Linked DNA regions of Elephas maximus indicus. The main gene of each other region encodes a partner of the protein of the gene in region 2 in a complex. Links are inferred from orthologs where the notes say so. Each region holds a gene or a part of one and is shown on either strand. Other genes may lie near its edges.

Region 1 (7,189 bases), on a different chromosome or scaffold from region 2:
TTCCTGAAAGTGAAGGAAGAATAAGAAATACATGGTTAAATTTAGTCTGGTCAAAACGTAGGTAGAGTAGAAGAAAATGGTGCAGATCTGAGCCCTCTACTTTGTAAAAAATCTACTATGTACCTCCACTCCCCCTTCGAAAAGAGTCCCCAGGAGATAGTATGCCATAGGGGGATGAACACTGAACTGCAAGTCAGGAGATCAACTTCCATACTAGTTGTCGCCCTGGTTGGGTGACCTTGACCAAGTCACTCCTCACCCAGGGCCTAACATGTCCTCCTAGAGGATCAAATAAAATTGATTCATATGGCCCCACGTAACTCTAAAAAAACATCGACTCCAGTTGATGTCAATAAATATAAACAGCCAGTGTGCTTGCTTCTACTGCTCAAAAACATTAAAACAGAAAGAATAAAGGACAGAAGATAGGAATCAGTGTTTAAACCTGACAGAGCAATTTAAAATGCCATGCAAAAAGCAGGCAAGAAACTCCATTACACACCTGTGATAGTCCCATGTCATTACAAAAGCCCTAGAGTACAGCTGTTCTGTTAACCTCAGTCCTTAAAGATGTGTCTCTCCATTCTGAATGCCAAAAAATGTTTGGCCACATTTGACTAAAGAAGCTGAATTCCCTCATCTTTCCACAGAATTTCATTGTTCAGCTGCTAAATATTTCTGCTGGGCATTGGTAGGGGGGATGGGTAGATAAAGGAGCCAAAATCCTAGTTAATTATCATTTAGTCACACTGTTTAAAGTTTCAAGTATGAGAAGCATGTTTGCTGATTCCCTTCTTTGATAAGCTGTTATATAAGTTGGAGTGTGCAAGCAAGACATTTCAAGGCTCAGGGCAACTTTTCAATGTGCAATGTAAAAAATGTGTCAGTCTTAACATTACAGTATTATAAATATGATGCCTCTATAGAGTCGTTCAAAGGCAATGGGATGGGCTATAGAGTACAACTTTGGCTAGGTGGTCAAATTAGCACAAATAATGTTTACAGAGTTATGACAATTACTTTGAATGTGGCAGTAAATATAGAAGGCCTGCCTCCCCAACCTCAAGGAACTTATTTGCACAACTTGCCCTCTTCCTCAAGAGGTACAAATTCGCTATTCTTTAACCACCTCAAAAAGATCCTTGGATGCTTTCCCTATTAAGACAAAACATAGACATTGAGACAATACTTTAATTATACTAAGTTTACTTGAATAAAGAGCTAGAGAAAGTAAAAAAAAAAAAACAAACACCAAAGTTTGCTAATCAGGGCACAAACACCATAAAGATAGAATATAAATAAACTGCTCTTGAGAGGCTGTAGTTGTGTGCCATGGAGTTGATTCCGACTCACAGCGACCCTACTCCTGAGAAATTATCCCATCAATAAATTCCTGTTCTCAAGCTAGAAATAGTGACGACACTTCACACCCACCTCCCCCATTTCACCCCCCAAAAAAAGCTAGAAATAGCATGCAAAGGGTGAGTTTTATTTCCATAGATTTTCTTAAATTGCTCTTCAAAAGTAGTTTAACAAGACCGCATGTTTCTACCAGGATTCCTCAGGGGCGCTAATCCTCACTAGAGCACTGAGGACAAACCAAAAAAAGAAAACCCATTGCCGTCGAGTTGATTCAGACTCATCGCGACCCTATAGGGCAGAATAGAACAGCAAGGAGCACCTGGTGGATTCGAACTGCCGACCTCCTAGTTAGCAGCTGTGGCACTTAACCACTACGCCACCAGGCTTTCAGTCTCAAGTTGCAGGTAAGTGTGAACAAGCCCACGACTGGTCAGCGCACAATGACCCCGCGCTGAAAATACAGTTAACTGTTGTTTCAACGGGCGTGGAGCGTTTATTACAGCTGTTTATACCTCCAACTCCAAAGGAGAGTCTACTAGTGCTGCCACCAGCCCTGGACACGAAAAAACAAGCACCGTGGGCAGAGAACCTCACCAAGACCAGGGGGCCAAGCTGCTCGCGCTTAACCCTTCAGAGGGGCAGCGCGGGCACCTCCTTTCCGCGGCCCGGGCCAGAGCGTTGCCAACTTTCCCTGAGGTAGCCCGTAGCCGGGGGCGGCAGAGGCAGGCACCGGACGGAGTTGCCAATTCAAGGGATTCATAGAGTCTGGGTGAGCTGGGCCGGGGACCTAGAACAACCTGCCCTGGGGCAACCCCTCCCCTCATTGGCCTGCCCCCTTCCTGGTCCTGCCCTCTAACTTGGCTCGAGGTGGCAGAGTCCTCCCAGGGCCCTGTGGTGGAGGGCCCCCGCCCTATCCACAAGGGAAGGGGGCCTCTGCTGCCGCCGCCCCTCCTAGGTGACTCACCTGGTGCCCGTCCTGGGAGTCGAGAGGGAGTGTGGTTTCTCCGGGTTCCAGCGGCTGCTGCTGAGGAGACGACTGCCCGAGGTGGCGGATGATGGGACCGTCAGGGTTGAGGCCACTGGGGCTGGTCAGAGTGCCAGAGGTGCCAGGGGTGCTGGGGCCGCCAAGGCGGGTCTCGGTTCCCCGTTCCCGCCGCAACTCGGAGCGCAATTCTAGGTAGCAGCACAACGTCAGCAGGTGGAGGGCCAGAGAAAAACCAAAGAAACCCAGGAAGAGCCGGCAGCTGCTGTTCCCTTCGCCGGCCCGGGCAGGGGCCCCGCGACAGCCGCAGCCCTGGCTTCCCCGCTGGCGCGGCAGTTCCCTGCGCTCTACCTCTGGGTAGCCCATGGCCTCCGGAGACACACACTCTCTGAGGCCCAGGAGCCGTCGCGTCTGCCTCAACCGTTCAGGACCCCTGACAGGCGGCTACTGTCCTGCCATCGGCTGGGGGCTCCAGGGACCCGTTCCTGTGCGTCGGTGGCTGGGCGGGACACAGCAAGGAGCAGCCGCATGTGCAGCTCCACTCCTAAGGGTGGGAAAGAGAGGAGGAGGGGCGGGAGAGAGGGGCGGCTCTGCCCGCCGAAGGAGTGAAGGAGGAGGCCCTGACCGACCCCGCCCCATCCCTCAAGGGGCTGCTGGTACGCCCAACCACCCGTCCCGCCAAGTCTGGGTGCTCCGCCCCCTGTCGTTCCACCGGCGCCTCAAACCGCGGGGCGGGGCCTGGAGGCGTGTGGGTTAGCCTCTGTCTGGCAGCCCCACCCAGCTCTTCCCGCTTTCCCGGTACGGGTAGGTTACTGCCGCTGTCGTTCATCCCTGGACTCCACCCCTATTTAACCCTTTAGCGCCAGTACGGGGGAGAAGGAAGGAGGGGAAGGCTGAGAAGAATTTGGGAACCTTGGGGGAAAAAGAGGAGAGCAAAGAAAAGAAGGCAGAAACGAGGATTAACAGAAATGCTTGCAATTAACTTTAGTTTTTAATAACATCATTCAGCACTTATCTGTTACTTTCGAACTTCAAAGCGTTTAACAGAGGTTAAACTAATTAAAACAGTTCTGGGTTTGGAATGAAACCATGTCTGCTGTGTTTGTAATCCACTGGCGTGCCAGAAGAAAAGAAGAGTCGGGAGCCTGGGAGCCAAAGGGAGTGGGAATGGGGTGTGACTCAGGCAGCCTCCCTCCTGGACTGAGTCTGGGGGCTCAATCTAAGTGAGGAAGAAGGTGACCTGTGCCAGGCAGGACTGAAGTGATGTTGCCCCCTGAAGGTCAAACCAGTCCCCTAAGATTTCTTATATGTTAATTCAGCAAACATGTATAAAATCCCTTTACTTCGTAAAAAGTGCTATATAAGAGAATTCACAACCAGAATAGTTTCTCTTCTTCAGTTGCAGCAGGAGTTTTCAGTGGAGAACACGTGACTTCAATGAGCAAATTGGGAAACTGAGAGCCAGAATGAGGTTGATTTTTACAAGGGTGGTCCACAGAATGGCCAGACAGTACTGGCATCTCTGTTTGCAGGCAACTGTTCTGGCCCCTCCACCCCTCCTCTCCTTCCCCTGGAGCAGTCCCTAGGGGAAGTTCAACAAGTCAGCCAAATGTTCCAGATGTACTCTGCTGCAACTGCAGCATCTTTAACAGCTGCACCAATCGGAAAAGGATTCAAGGCAACAACAAAAAAAGTGGGCAGATGTCAGAACAATAGATCCTGATATGAAGATTGTAAAGGATTAGTTAAATCAAAAGTCATAATTAACAACAGTTAGTTGGAGATTATAGAGAGCTAAATGACCGTGGTGGAAAAGAAAGTTTTGTTTTTTTTTTTTTAATGACCGTAGAAAGGAAATATTCATGCTTCTTGGTCACCTTGCAATCCCATTCCCATGTTATTAATTGAGAAGCAAGTAATTCTCAGTTTCAGTGATATGACAAAGCCATCACGAATGCCACCAAGGAGGCTCAACAATGCCCAGGAGTGTGGATGGGAAGACCTATAACCTAGACTGGTGGGAGGGAGAGAAAAATAGCGGTAAAATAGAAGAGAGACAAAAGGAAAACAACAAAACTAAACCAAAATCATCTGGTGGGAGGTCAGTCCAGAAAGCACAGAGACCATAGGTCTTAAATATTTCAGCCACAGCCAACTTTTCTTCCACACACTTTGTGAATGGTTTCCGTGCTTCAACAACATCTTTGTGTCCTCTCATTAACCTTAACCCATGAAATATAAAGTTTTCAAAGAATATCATCATTACACCAAAAAAAAAAAAACCCACTGCTGCAGAGTCAATTCCAACTCATAGTAACCCTATGGGACGGAGTAGAACTGCCCCATAGGATTTCCAAGGAGCAGCTAGTGGATTCAAACTACCAACCTCTTGGTTAGCAGCCATAGCTCTTAACCACTACACCACCAGGGTTTCATTATACAGACAGGAAAAAAAACAAAAAAACATTTAACAGCTGCTCTCAAGTCCTGCTTGTCCAGTCCAGGAACTCCAGCTGCTGGGGAAATTGCCAGGCTGATTTACCTTAATTATCACAGCCCAGGATTATTCAAAATAATGCTAGACTAGGAGTCAGGAGATCTGGCATAGCCACTAATTTGCAAGTCACTGTGCTTTTGGGGGCCTTAGTTTCTCCAATTGTAAAATGAGGATTTTGAACAGCTATAACATTGTCTTTTATTTGTGTTGTAACTGACTATATTGACTTGGTTGCGTACACAGTTCAAAGAGGCTGTCCCTGTTTCCCCTAAAATGAAAAGGGGACAAATGAAGCCATCTCTGGTGGTGGTGGTCATGCTCAGGGGCCATACTGGTCTCAGTTTACCATGTTCTATCAGGTTTTTAACAGCTTAACTGAGACCCTGAGTTGCACCATCCTCCTCAGAAGCCCTGGGGGTTGTATTTGACCTTGTGCCTCACTTTGCTCAACTCAACAGCCCCCAGAGGAAGAACATATGTTTTTATATGCAGTAGAATTGTTGGTCTGGGGCAATCCAGTGAGGAATGTACATGGTCATTTTTTTAAGTGTTTCCACAGTTAGTGTCTATGCTTCCATAAGTACCCCATTACCTACACCACAGGTCTTAAAATGACAGCCCGCAGGCTACATCCAGCAAATTGTTGTGTTGTGTTTGATGCAGCGTTGGCTAAAAGTTTGAATTAAAAAAAATTAGAAATCAGGACATTTCACATTAAAAAAAAAATCCAGATTTCCTGTTTCTGTTTAAAGAAACAAATAAATAAGCCCAGAGTGTCCACATTCCCTTATGGCTGCATTCAGCTAGAACTGACCCCTTGATACAAACACAGGCTATCAAATTCCACAGTCACCCGCCCCACCCCCATCTCCTTCCTCTTCTCTCTAATATTGTCCTTGTCACTCACTTATTTTGTCTGACCCCTGTAATACAGGAGACAAGATCTCAACTCCTTAGCGTGACCTACAAGGTACTCATAATCTGGTCTCAAACTGCCTCTCCAACCTCATCTTCCACCATCCTACAGGGAACACATGCTCCCACGATACTAAATTAGTTGACTGCTTTGTCACAGTTGTGCCTTTTCACAAGCTTTTTTCTTTGTCAGGAATATCACCACCTTGGAAACCTTATAAATTCTTCAAGAATCAACTCATATGTTCCCTCTGGGCTCCACAGCCCACTCCAAACAGATTGTACCTTGAGCATAGCTCAATGATATCACCTACTATATTGTATTTTTAATTTTTCACATGGCTCTCTCCCTACTAAATCCTGAGCTGTTCCTTGATGGTAAGAACGGTGTTCTTTTTATTTGGGTATCACTAGTATCTAGCAGAGCACCTATGACGTAGCAGGCACCAGTATTGTTTATCAAATGAATAGGGCATGAAGTCTGCTATGGTAACCTAGACTACCTAGAATTCCAAAAAGGGAACTGGGCTAAAGGATACCTGTCAGTATCACTTAAGAAGCACCTGTTGTATACAAACTGTATAGCACTATGCAAAAGAAATAAAACTAATGCTACCATAGTGGTTGTGAATAATCCAGAAAAGTAAGTAATCCAGAAATTCAAATATAATTGGTTTATAGTAACTCATTGGCCTTTCTGCCCCATCAAGTTTTCCTTTCTAATTTGGGCTTAATATTAAAATAAGTCAGCTAAACTGAAGACCCTGAATACCCATCAATTGAGTGGAATATGTTAGGGAGTTGGGCAGAAACTGCTTTGAAATACAGTACCTCTTAGCTCTGGTTAATCTGCAGAACAAATAATTGACATAGAGATCACAGAGTTGACTCTCTGATCCACTTAATGTTAAACAGATAGTTGGAAGGAATATAAACTTTGGATTAGATCCTGGTTTGAATCTTAGCTTATTCACTTACCAGCTGTGTGACCTAGGACAAGTGAGTTTTACCTGTCTTGCAGAGAGCCTCAGTTTTCTCATCTGGAAAATGGAGATGACAATATTATTTTTTTTTAATCTAGCTATGATTAAATGAGATGCTATAAGTGAAAGTGTCTGGCACATAATAAATGCATAGTAAATGTTAGTCCCTGCTGTCCAGGAGCCTTTCGTCAAAAGGAGATGAGAGGAAAAACATACAAATACTCAAGAACATGGCAGAAACACAGAAAAGCATCTACCTACTTTGCCCTTGCCAAAAACTGCCCCATTTTTTGCATCCTTAGAGTTTGGGATAAGGCCTATATGTTCCCACCACCTTCCCCTGAACTCTTAACCCATATATCTATCTTCCTCCTTTCAATTTCCACTTCCATCAGATAGATATACTTTGTCCTTCCCTACCCTGTAGAAGGAGCCCTGGTGACACAATGG
Region 2 (7,787 bases):
TGAGTCAGAAACAACTTGACAGCAACAGGTTTTAAGCGTCAATTTCCTTATTGGGGAAGACAAACATGGAAACACCTTGTCAAGCAACACAGGGCAGAGGTGAAGTAAGTGGACATCAGTTTATCTCTTCTGGTTGTATTTTATTTTATTTTTTTTGGAAAATAATAAGCAAGGATTAAACAAAAGTCTTGCCTGTAATATGCAAGTTCAAGAACCTGCCTTACTGATGGGCAGCTGAAGTCGCAGGCGGCTGCACTCTTAAAAGGCAGGGGTTGGTGTTTTGTTTCCTAATTGATGTAATGTGCTAAGTGAGCTTAATGTAAGTTAATTAATGATGCTGTTGGTGGGCGGCATTACTTAGGCAGAGCCTAAAACAGCATCAAAGGGAGAGGGCAGGCAGGTGTCCCCTGGGACACTGGAGGAAACAGAGGCCAGGAGTCAGGCGGCTGAGAGGTGTACAGACAGGGAGCTTCAGCAGGCCAGGAGGAAAGTGAGGGGAAGCCAACCAAGAGGGCACCTGACGGTTTAAACAGCGAGGCTGGCTTCCAAAAAGCCATCCTGTTTATAGCTACTGTGTTTGAACTTCAGACCTGCTTGAGTCTTTGAGGAACCTGGTGGTGCAGTGGTTAAGAGCTAAGCCACTAACCGGAAGGTTGGCAGTTTGAATCCACCAGCTGCTCCTTGGAAACCCTATGTTGCAGTTCTACTCTGTCCTATAGGGTCACTGTGAGTCGGCATCAACTCAACGTCAATCGTTTTTTCCTTTTTTGAAGCTAAGATCCTGTGCATTTCCTTGAGAATGAATTCCATTCTTTGGAAACCACAAAACTCACTCATCTGGGCCTTGAAAAAAGAGACAGGGAGCCGGGCTTTCTATCTGTGCGTCTCCATTGAGACACCAAGGGGTTTTGGCTAGAAGAAGCTCCACAGGATATTTTTTAAAATCAACAGGGCTCGGGCAGTTGCGTTAATCTCTAGGAGTCAATTTGGTTTCGCTCCCTGTGAAATAGGGTTGAGGTCTGGTCTGTCTTCACACCTCCGGCAAACACTGCCATATGGGGACACAGTGATGCTCAAAAGAGAAGGGTGAGTCCCTGACACTTCTAAGCTTTGCGAATATCTATCTTCGATAAAATGAAAACCCTGTTTACTTTTATAAACCAGGAAGTGGTTGGAGAGTGAAAATCAGGCATTTCAGGGAAATTTTATTTATTTTTTTCCTCCCTAAGACATGTCCCTCCAAGATTGCCCCCCAAATGTGCTGTCACAAATTAATATTCCCACAGCGCAGCCTGGCTCACTTAAGGATGGGGAGAGGGCAAAGAGGCCCAATTTCGGGCATATCTGAGACCCCAAATGGTTGTACCAGGACCCTCAGATGCCCCCAATCTTCTCTTCCCGAAATGAAGGGTAAACATGGGCAGTCATTACGACAAACCATAATTTCCTAACTCTGATGAGTGAGCTTCTTGGTGGACTCTGTCAAAATGTACATTGAAAGGCCCCGAGTGCCTGTGACTTTGAAATCTCAGGCACTTGAGTCAGGCGAGAATTATTCTCTCTCTTAAAGTGTTATTTTAATTGATTCCTTTTCTCCTTCGTCTTTTTTTTTTTTTTTTTTAACTTCTTTAGTATTTTGAAATAGCTATGGTTTCACTCTTAGAGTCTTAAAAAGGCAACTTCAGAACCCCAGAGCAGTGGCTAGCTGCAGAGTTGGGGAAGGAGGGAGCCTGGCTTGGTGTTTGCTCTCTTCCTCTCTCTCCGTTTTTCATTTCATTCATTTCACATCCTTGTGTCCCACCAACTGTGTCTGTATCCTCAGACTGACCAGGTCTTCTGCTCTGTGAGTTTATCACCTCACTCCTGGCCCTTTATTTTTTTAAGCTGTTCCTCTTGTTGTTAATCCAGGGTACATAGAGGCTTATCAGTAAGCAGTTCACCTGCTGTGCTTTCTGCCCAGCCTCACCCTTTCCCAGATCTCACACCTCTGCACGCTGGAGCAACGCGCAGGCTGTTGGGCAGTTACAGCCGGCTCTTTCGCACGGAGCCCAAACTACTCTGTGACCTGTTGGAGGCACTGGGAGAAACCTCTTGAATGGAAGGGAAATCCTTAATCATCAGAAATAGTTACCCAAGTTATACACACACACACACACACACACACACACACACACACACACACACACAGCCACACAGAGGCCATGAAATCGGGCCTCAGACTTGATTCAAAACCCCATCTAGAAGGGCTCTTAAGGCACTGTGGCTATTTGTGGGTTGGTTGCAGGTACAGAACCCAGAGGCAGCCCCAGCCCTTGCCTGCCTTCTCAGGCAAGCCGAACCCCAGTGCAAACCTGAGAGACAGATTTTCCATGCTCTCTGGAGACACCCGTTGTTACAGTAGCCAAAATCTTAAAGCCTGCTAAGCATACCCAAAGTTTAGCTTGCTAACCAAATGTGCAACCGATAACAAAACTGAGTTTCTGATGTTTTCCTGAAAACAAAGGCACAATCTTGGATCTTAGAACTGGTGGCGCAGACATACGGTAATTGGTGAAGCTTGTTCAAACGCAACCCAAAAATGACATGCATTTCAAAAATGCACTCAGGCTGTTTCCTAGCCTATGTCACCTCTGTCTCTCCATGCAAAAGAGCACATGAGCTTAGAAAACCAAAAGAAAAAGACTAAGGCTTACCTGGTACTCGGTGGAGGTTCAGTTTCCAGCCCAAGCAGAAGATGGATCTGTGAGGAAAACCCTACCACGATCCAGTCTGGGGGACACCAGGTTTCCCAGGTGGGTCGTCCCAGCAGATGCTCAAGGTCCCTGTAGGCTGGCAGAGCTCCCTGGGGGCCAGGCACCCCTCCACGGCTGTCAGCCCCACTTCTTTTTGTCTCCAAGGGCTTTCCGGGAACTTTTCCTTGACTACTGAGCGTCCTGTCTGCGAGCTAGGAGACTTCGTCCTTGCAGAGGGGCTTTCCCTCGCTGCAAACTCACCTGCACCACCTAGAGGCCTCTTCCGGCGCTGGAGATTCGAGAGCCTCGGCACTTCAGCCCGTTCCAGCCTGTGCCTGACTTCCTGCCCCTCAAGAGACCAATTGGAATGTGTGAAAATCATTGATTTTTTTTTTTTCTGGCGGGGGAACGGGACAGAGAGAGTCTTGCTTCTGTTAGAACAACCAAAGCCTTTGGGCAATGGGGTGTTAAAAAAGATAATTAGCATAAAAACATAATTAATCAAGACTTGTTCACGAAGGACCCACCACTGAGATGGCTACAGGCTTGGGTGCTGCTGCTGGAGTCAACTTTGAAACACGTGTGCCACAGGTTCCCCAGCACCCCCTTCACCTGGCACATCTAGGCTTTGAGTTACCAGGAAGCTTTAACTGCTCTTCTGCTCCTCTACCCTGACACCTTACCCCACCAACACTGTACCTCATGTAATTCTAGATAATCTGGAAGATGTCTGAAACACAAACATTTCGAAAGGGCATTGCATTTCAGTAGTAGTCCATTTTTTCTCCAAAACTAAACGATTGGGGAGGGGGACCCTCAACCTTGAAAAGAATGTCATTTTTCCAGCTGACCCCACTCCATCCACAAACACAAGAATGGAATGGCTCCTCTAGGACACATTGCTATGTCCCCCTTTTCCATTGGCTCTGGCACATAACATACAACATAATTCACATATGAGAAGTGAATAGTTCAAGACAGAAAAAGAGGCAAAACTGTGTGGGTCTAGGGTGAGGATGCTGACCTCGAAGACTAATTCTGCCGCCAGAGAGGGTGAGTAGAACCATATTTGCTTGACTTCCTTGACCAGTGTGAACAATTAATCTGGACAGTGTAGGTTCCCCATGTGAGAGTGTTAAGTTGAACTTTCAGACTTGGTTGTTGACACTGCCCATGCTGACCCCAAACTGAGGGTTTGTGGTAAATTAAAACGATTAAATTAGGAACCCAGGAAACAAATAGGAAGTAAGGGTACTGGGCTAATCTTTTCTATTGCATATAATTTTGACTTTTTGACATTTTCATTTTGATCAATATGTTTGAGGACGGAGATGATCTTAGGGTAACTTTTTTTTTTTTCTGTATTGGAAATTAAATGGTGACTTTAAATTTGCCAGAGATAACAGGGATGCTGCCAAAAGATAAGAAAAAGACAGTTAAAGGATTTGAATATGGATGGTGTCATATAAGCCAAAGGAATTTTCCCCTTTCTCTCTCTCTGAAAAATCTAAAACATGATGCCATTAAGAAAGGTTACAGATGGCTACACTTGAGGTTTTCATAGTCATCATATCCGAATGAAAATGAGCACACAAATTAATCCAGTAGATTAAGAGAAAGAATGAAGCAAGTGAGACTATTGTTTATCTTCATAATTTAAGGCTCCAGAGCTTTGAAGATATGTGAATTTCTGTTTTGCACATTTCGTAAAAGGCTGAGGCAGAAATAGCAAAAGGTTATCGATAGCATTTTTGAAATAAGAACATGAATCAAGACTACAAACCATTGTCGGGCCAGTGGGGTCTTTGGGGGCTGTGGAGAATCGGGTGTAATTTAGAACACATGGTAGACACACACACCCAGTAACTCACTCTGCAGTGCCCTGGCCTACGCTTTCATCTAGATTGCACAAATGCGTGACCAGGAATAGAGCAGAGGGGCCGTGGCACGCTGCGGAAGGCACCATCTGTAGCTCTTTTCAGCCACAGTTTTCCGAGGGCTTTTAGGGATTCAGTACAGAATAGGCATGGGCTGGTGCGAATGACCTCCCAGCAGATCAGACAATTGCCAAGGAGTAAACTGAGCCATATTCTGTGTCTTAGCAGCTGACTTCGTGTTGGGTGAGCAGCAAGAAAAACCTTGATACCCTCTTGTCTTAGTCATCTAGTGCTGCTGTAACAGAAATACCACAAGCGGATGGCTTTAACAGAGGGAAATTTACTCTCTCACAGTCTAGTAGGTTACAAGTCCAAATTCAGGACGTCAGCTCCAAGGGAAGGCTATTTCTCTTCGTCGGCCCTGAAGAAAGGTCCTTGTCCTCAACCTTTCTTTGGTCAGGAGCTTCTCGGGCACAGGTACCCCAGATTCAAAGGATGCGCTCTGCTCCTTGTGCTGCTTTCTTGGTGGTATGAGGTCCCTCACTCTCTGCTTTCTTCCCTTTCCTTTTATCTCTTGAGAGATAAAAGGTGATGCAAGCCCCACCCCAGAGAAACTCCCTTTACATTGGATCAGGGAGGTGATCTGAGCGAAGGTGGTGTTAAAATCCCACCCTAATCTTCTTAACATAAAATTACAATCCCAAAATTGAGGACAACCACAGAATACTGGGAATCATGGCCTAACCAAGTTGATACACACATTTTTTGGGGGACATAATTCAATCCATGACACCTCTCAATCCATCAAATTAGCCTGTCTTTTATGTTAATGTACTCATGCATCATTCATTCAGCAACTTCATACCCAGTACCTCTAAGGAAATGGGTAAATGGGTATGGGTACCTCTATGAAGGGTACAAACGGCTAAGAGCTAGGCTGCTGACCAAAAGGTTGGCAGTTTGAACCCACCCAGCGGCTCCATGGGAGAAAGACCTGGCAATCAACTTCTGTAAAGATTACAGCCAAGAAAACTCTACGGGGGAGTTCTACTCTGTCACATGGGATCGCTATGAGTTGAAATCAACTTGACGGCACCTAATAATACTAACAAGAACCAGGTACTGTTTGGGTTGCTGGAATACAATAATGAAAGGGACAGCCAAGACCTCTGGTCTCAGAAAGTTTATACTCTAGCTGGGGAGGTAGCGAATAATCAAATTATCAAGTAAACTTAAAATATACTTTCTGGTAGGACACACGGGTTATGTAGGTGGGGGTTATTACAGCCGGCTGATGACAGTTTCCTGCTACCTGATTACTATCAGGAAAAGTGGTATCAGATCACATACACCAAAATGAGGATGCTCTTTCTGGCAGCTGACCCCTGACATTTAACTGACTTCACCCTAACAACTCATCACAGCAAGTGAACTTCTGGTTACCTACAGACGAAGTTTATCTCAGAGTTCTGCAGGAAATCATGTTGTTCAAGGCATAAGAGTATTTGATGAAATGTTTTTACGCCTATGGCGGGTGCTTTCTAACAACCACTGAGTTCTTCAGATCAAACGATCTTAGCTCTGTCTGGTATGGAATTTGCAGCTGCAGACCTGTCTCGGGGCTAGTGCAGACCTGGAATTGTTTTCCGGGACAACCCTGGCCCTGCTGGTGGGTGCTCCTTCAGCCTCGTGGGCTGAGAAGAGCAGGCTCCTCAGGCCCGTCTGGGCCCGGCTCCTGTGCTTTCCCTAAAAACGTGCGATTTGATCTCACCTCTAGCTAATGGCGAATGCACAGGATCTGCCCCCTCAGAGCATGGGCGAGCTAGTTTTTAAAGCATGACCTCAAACTCCCTCCAGCTCACGCTTATCACAATACTATAGGCAGGAACAACAGGAAAATAATAACTTATGATTTAAAGTCCCTGATGCTATCAAAAGAGTGTGGATCATGAGGAGGGGCCTGGCTTACAGATACCTAAAATATCAGACTTGAGTTAGTGGCATGAAGGAAACAAACAACCACTGAGATGGTGCATGAGGGGCTGCTATGTTGGTTGAGAAGGGTCAGGACTGGTTACTCTGAAGGGAAAGATTGACTTTTAAACTGAGACCTGAGAAGAAAGAGTGAGTCTTGCATGGTAGGAGGAGAAGAGGGTTTCAGGGAGAACATAGTGATATGCAAAGGCCCTGAGGTAGAAAAGAGCCAGGAGTGTTGGTGAAACTGAAAGAAACCATGGGGCTTGAAAGTAGGGAGGTGGGCTGGAGAGTGGTCTGAGACAGGATTGGGGAGGGGCTGGAGACCTGATACCATAGTGTTCTGAGGGCCATCTAAAGAGGCTTGGATGTTACTCTAAGTATAAAAACCCAAAAAACAAAACAAAACAAAATCACAATTTAAAGATGACAGAAAATTACTTTAGAAGTAGAACAGAACTCTATCACCACCAATATATGGAAGGGGAGAGACTGAGCCTGGGAGTATTTATATTGGTTGGGCCTTTAGTCTTCTAGGAAAGCCTGGTGGCATAGTGGTTAAGTGCTACGGCTGCTAACCAAGAGGTCAGCAGTTCAAATCCACCAGGTGCTCCTTGGAAACTCTATGGGGCAGTTCTACTCTGTCCTATAGAGTTGCTACGACTCGGAATCGACCATGGCAGTGGGTTTGGTTTGTTTTTGGTTAAACTAGACCTGAGTGATGAAATAATACGTGAAACTTTGACATACTTGGGTGAACTGTCCTCTGCCAGCATCAAACGAAATGGGCCAACTCCAGGTCAAAGGCAGACTAAGCCAGGTGGGGTTACAACTGATGTTACCCCATTGGAGAATGATATTCTGCACTGATTGGTTTGCCACACCAACCCTGCTGTTAGATAAAGACATAAACGCCAGAATTTGTTTTAGCTACCTGGTTGTCCAAGATTCCTACCAGAAGCACCGTGTATTAAAATGCTGCCTGGATTTGGAATTCTCAGCTGTCGGTAATGATTCTGGTCACAAAAAATACCACGTTTAACTCTCTTCCATGGAGGGAGAAAGAGACCCAGGTGGACGGGAAAAGCTACAGGTCAGGAGCTGAGTCAAGGGCAAAGGGGCACCTTCCCCTCAGTGCCCTAGCCCTCTTTTGCACCCCCATTCCTGTGGTGACCCCCCACCTCCCTCCATTATGTAAGCAGTA

The links. Proteins that work in one complex are often made in the same cells at the same time.
Region 1: the proteins of EDAR (region 2) and EDA are in contact, whole or in part, in a crystal structure (PDB 7X9G), measured with the Homo sapiens proteins. The link is inferred for Elephas maximus indicus from reciprocal best matches to the Homo sapiens genes EDAR and EDA. Residues at the interface, in NP_071731.1 of Homo sapiens: Glu55, Pro56, Tyr57, Leu58, Lys78, Ile86, Arg88, Arg89, His90, Asp92, Glu94, Gly95, Phe97, Val134; in NP_001390.1 of Homo sapiens: Gln256, Ser258, Ala259, Gln261, Asp265, Asp273, Arg289, Tyr310, Tyr311, Lys340, Thr341, Tyr343, Ser370.

The regions. Positions count from the first base shown.
Region 1 is NC_064846.1:100,697,153-100,704,341, forward strand, and holds the start of EDA (ectodysplasin-A), read right to left. Parts: upstream 3,015-7,189; 5' UTR 2,711-3,014; coding exon 2,327-2,710; intron 1-2,326. UniProt on the Homo sapiens protein: Cytokine which is involved in epithelial-mesenchymal signaling during morphogenesis of ectodermal organs. Functions as a ligand activating the DEATH-domain containing receptors EDAR and EDA2R. May also play a role in cell adhesion.
Region 2 is NC_064835.1:76,755,758-76,763,544, reverse strand, and holds the start of EDAR (tumor necrosis factor receptor superfamily member EDAR), read right to left. Parts: upstream 3,009-7,787; 5' UTR 2,694-3,008; intron 1-2,693. UniProt on the Homo sapiens protein: Receptor for EDA isoform A1, but not for EDA isoform A2. Mediates the activation of NF-kappa-B and JNK. May promote caspase-independent cell death.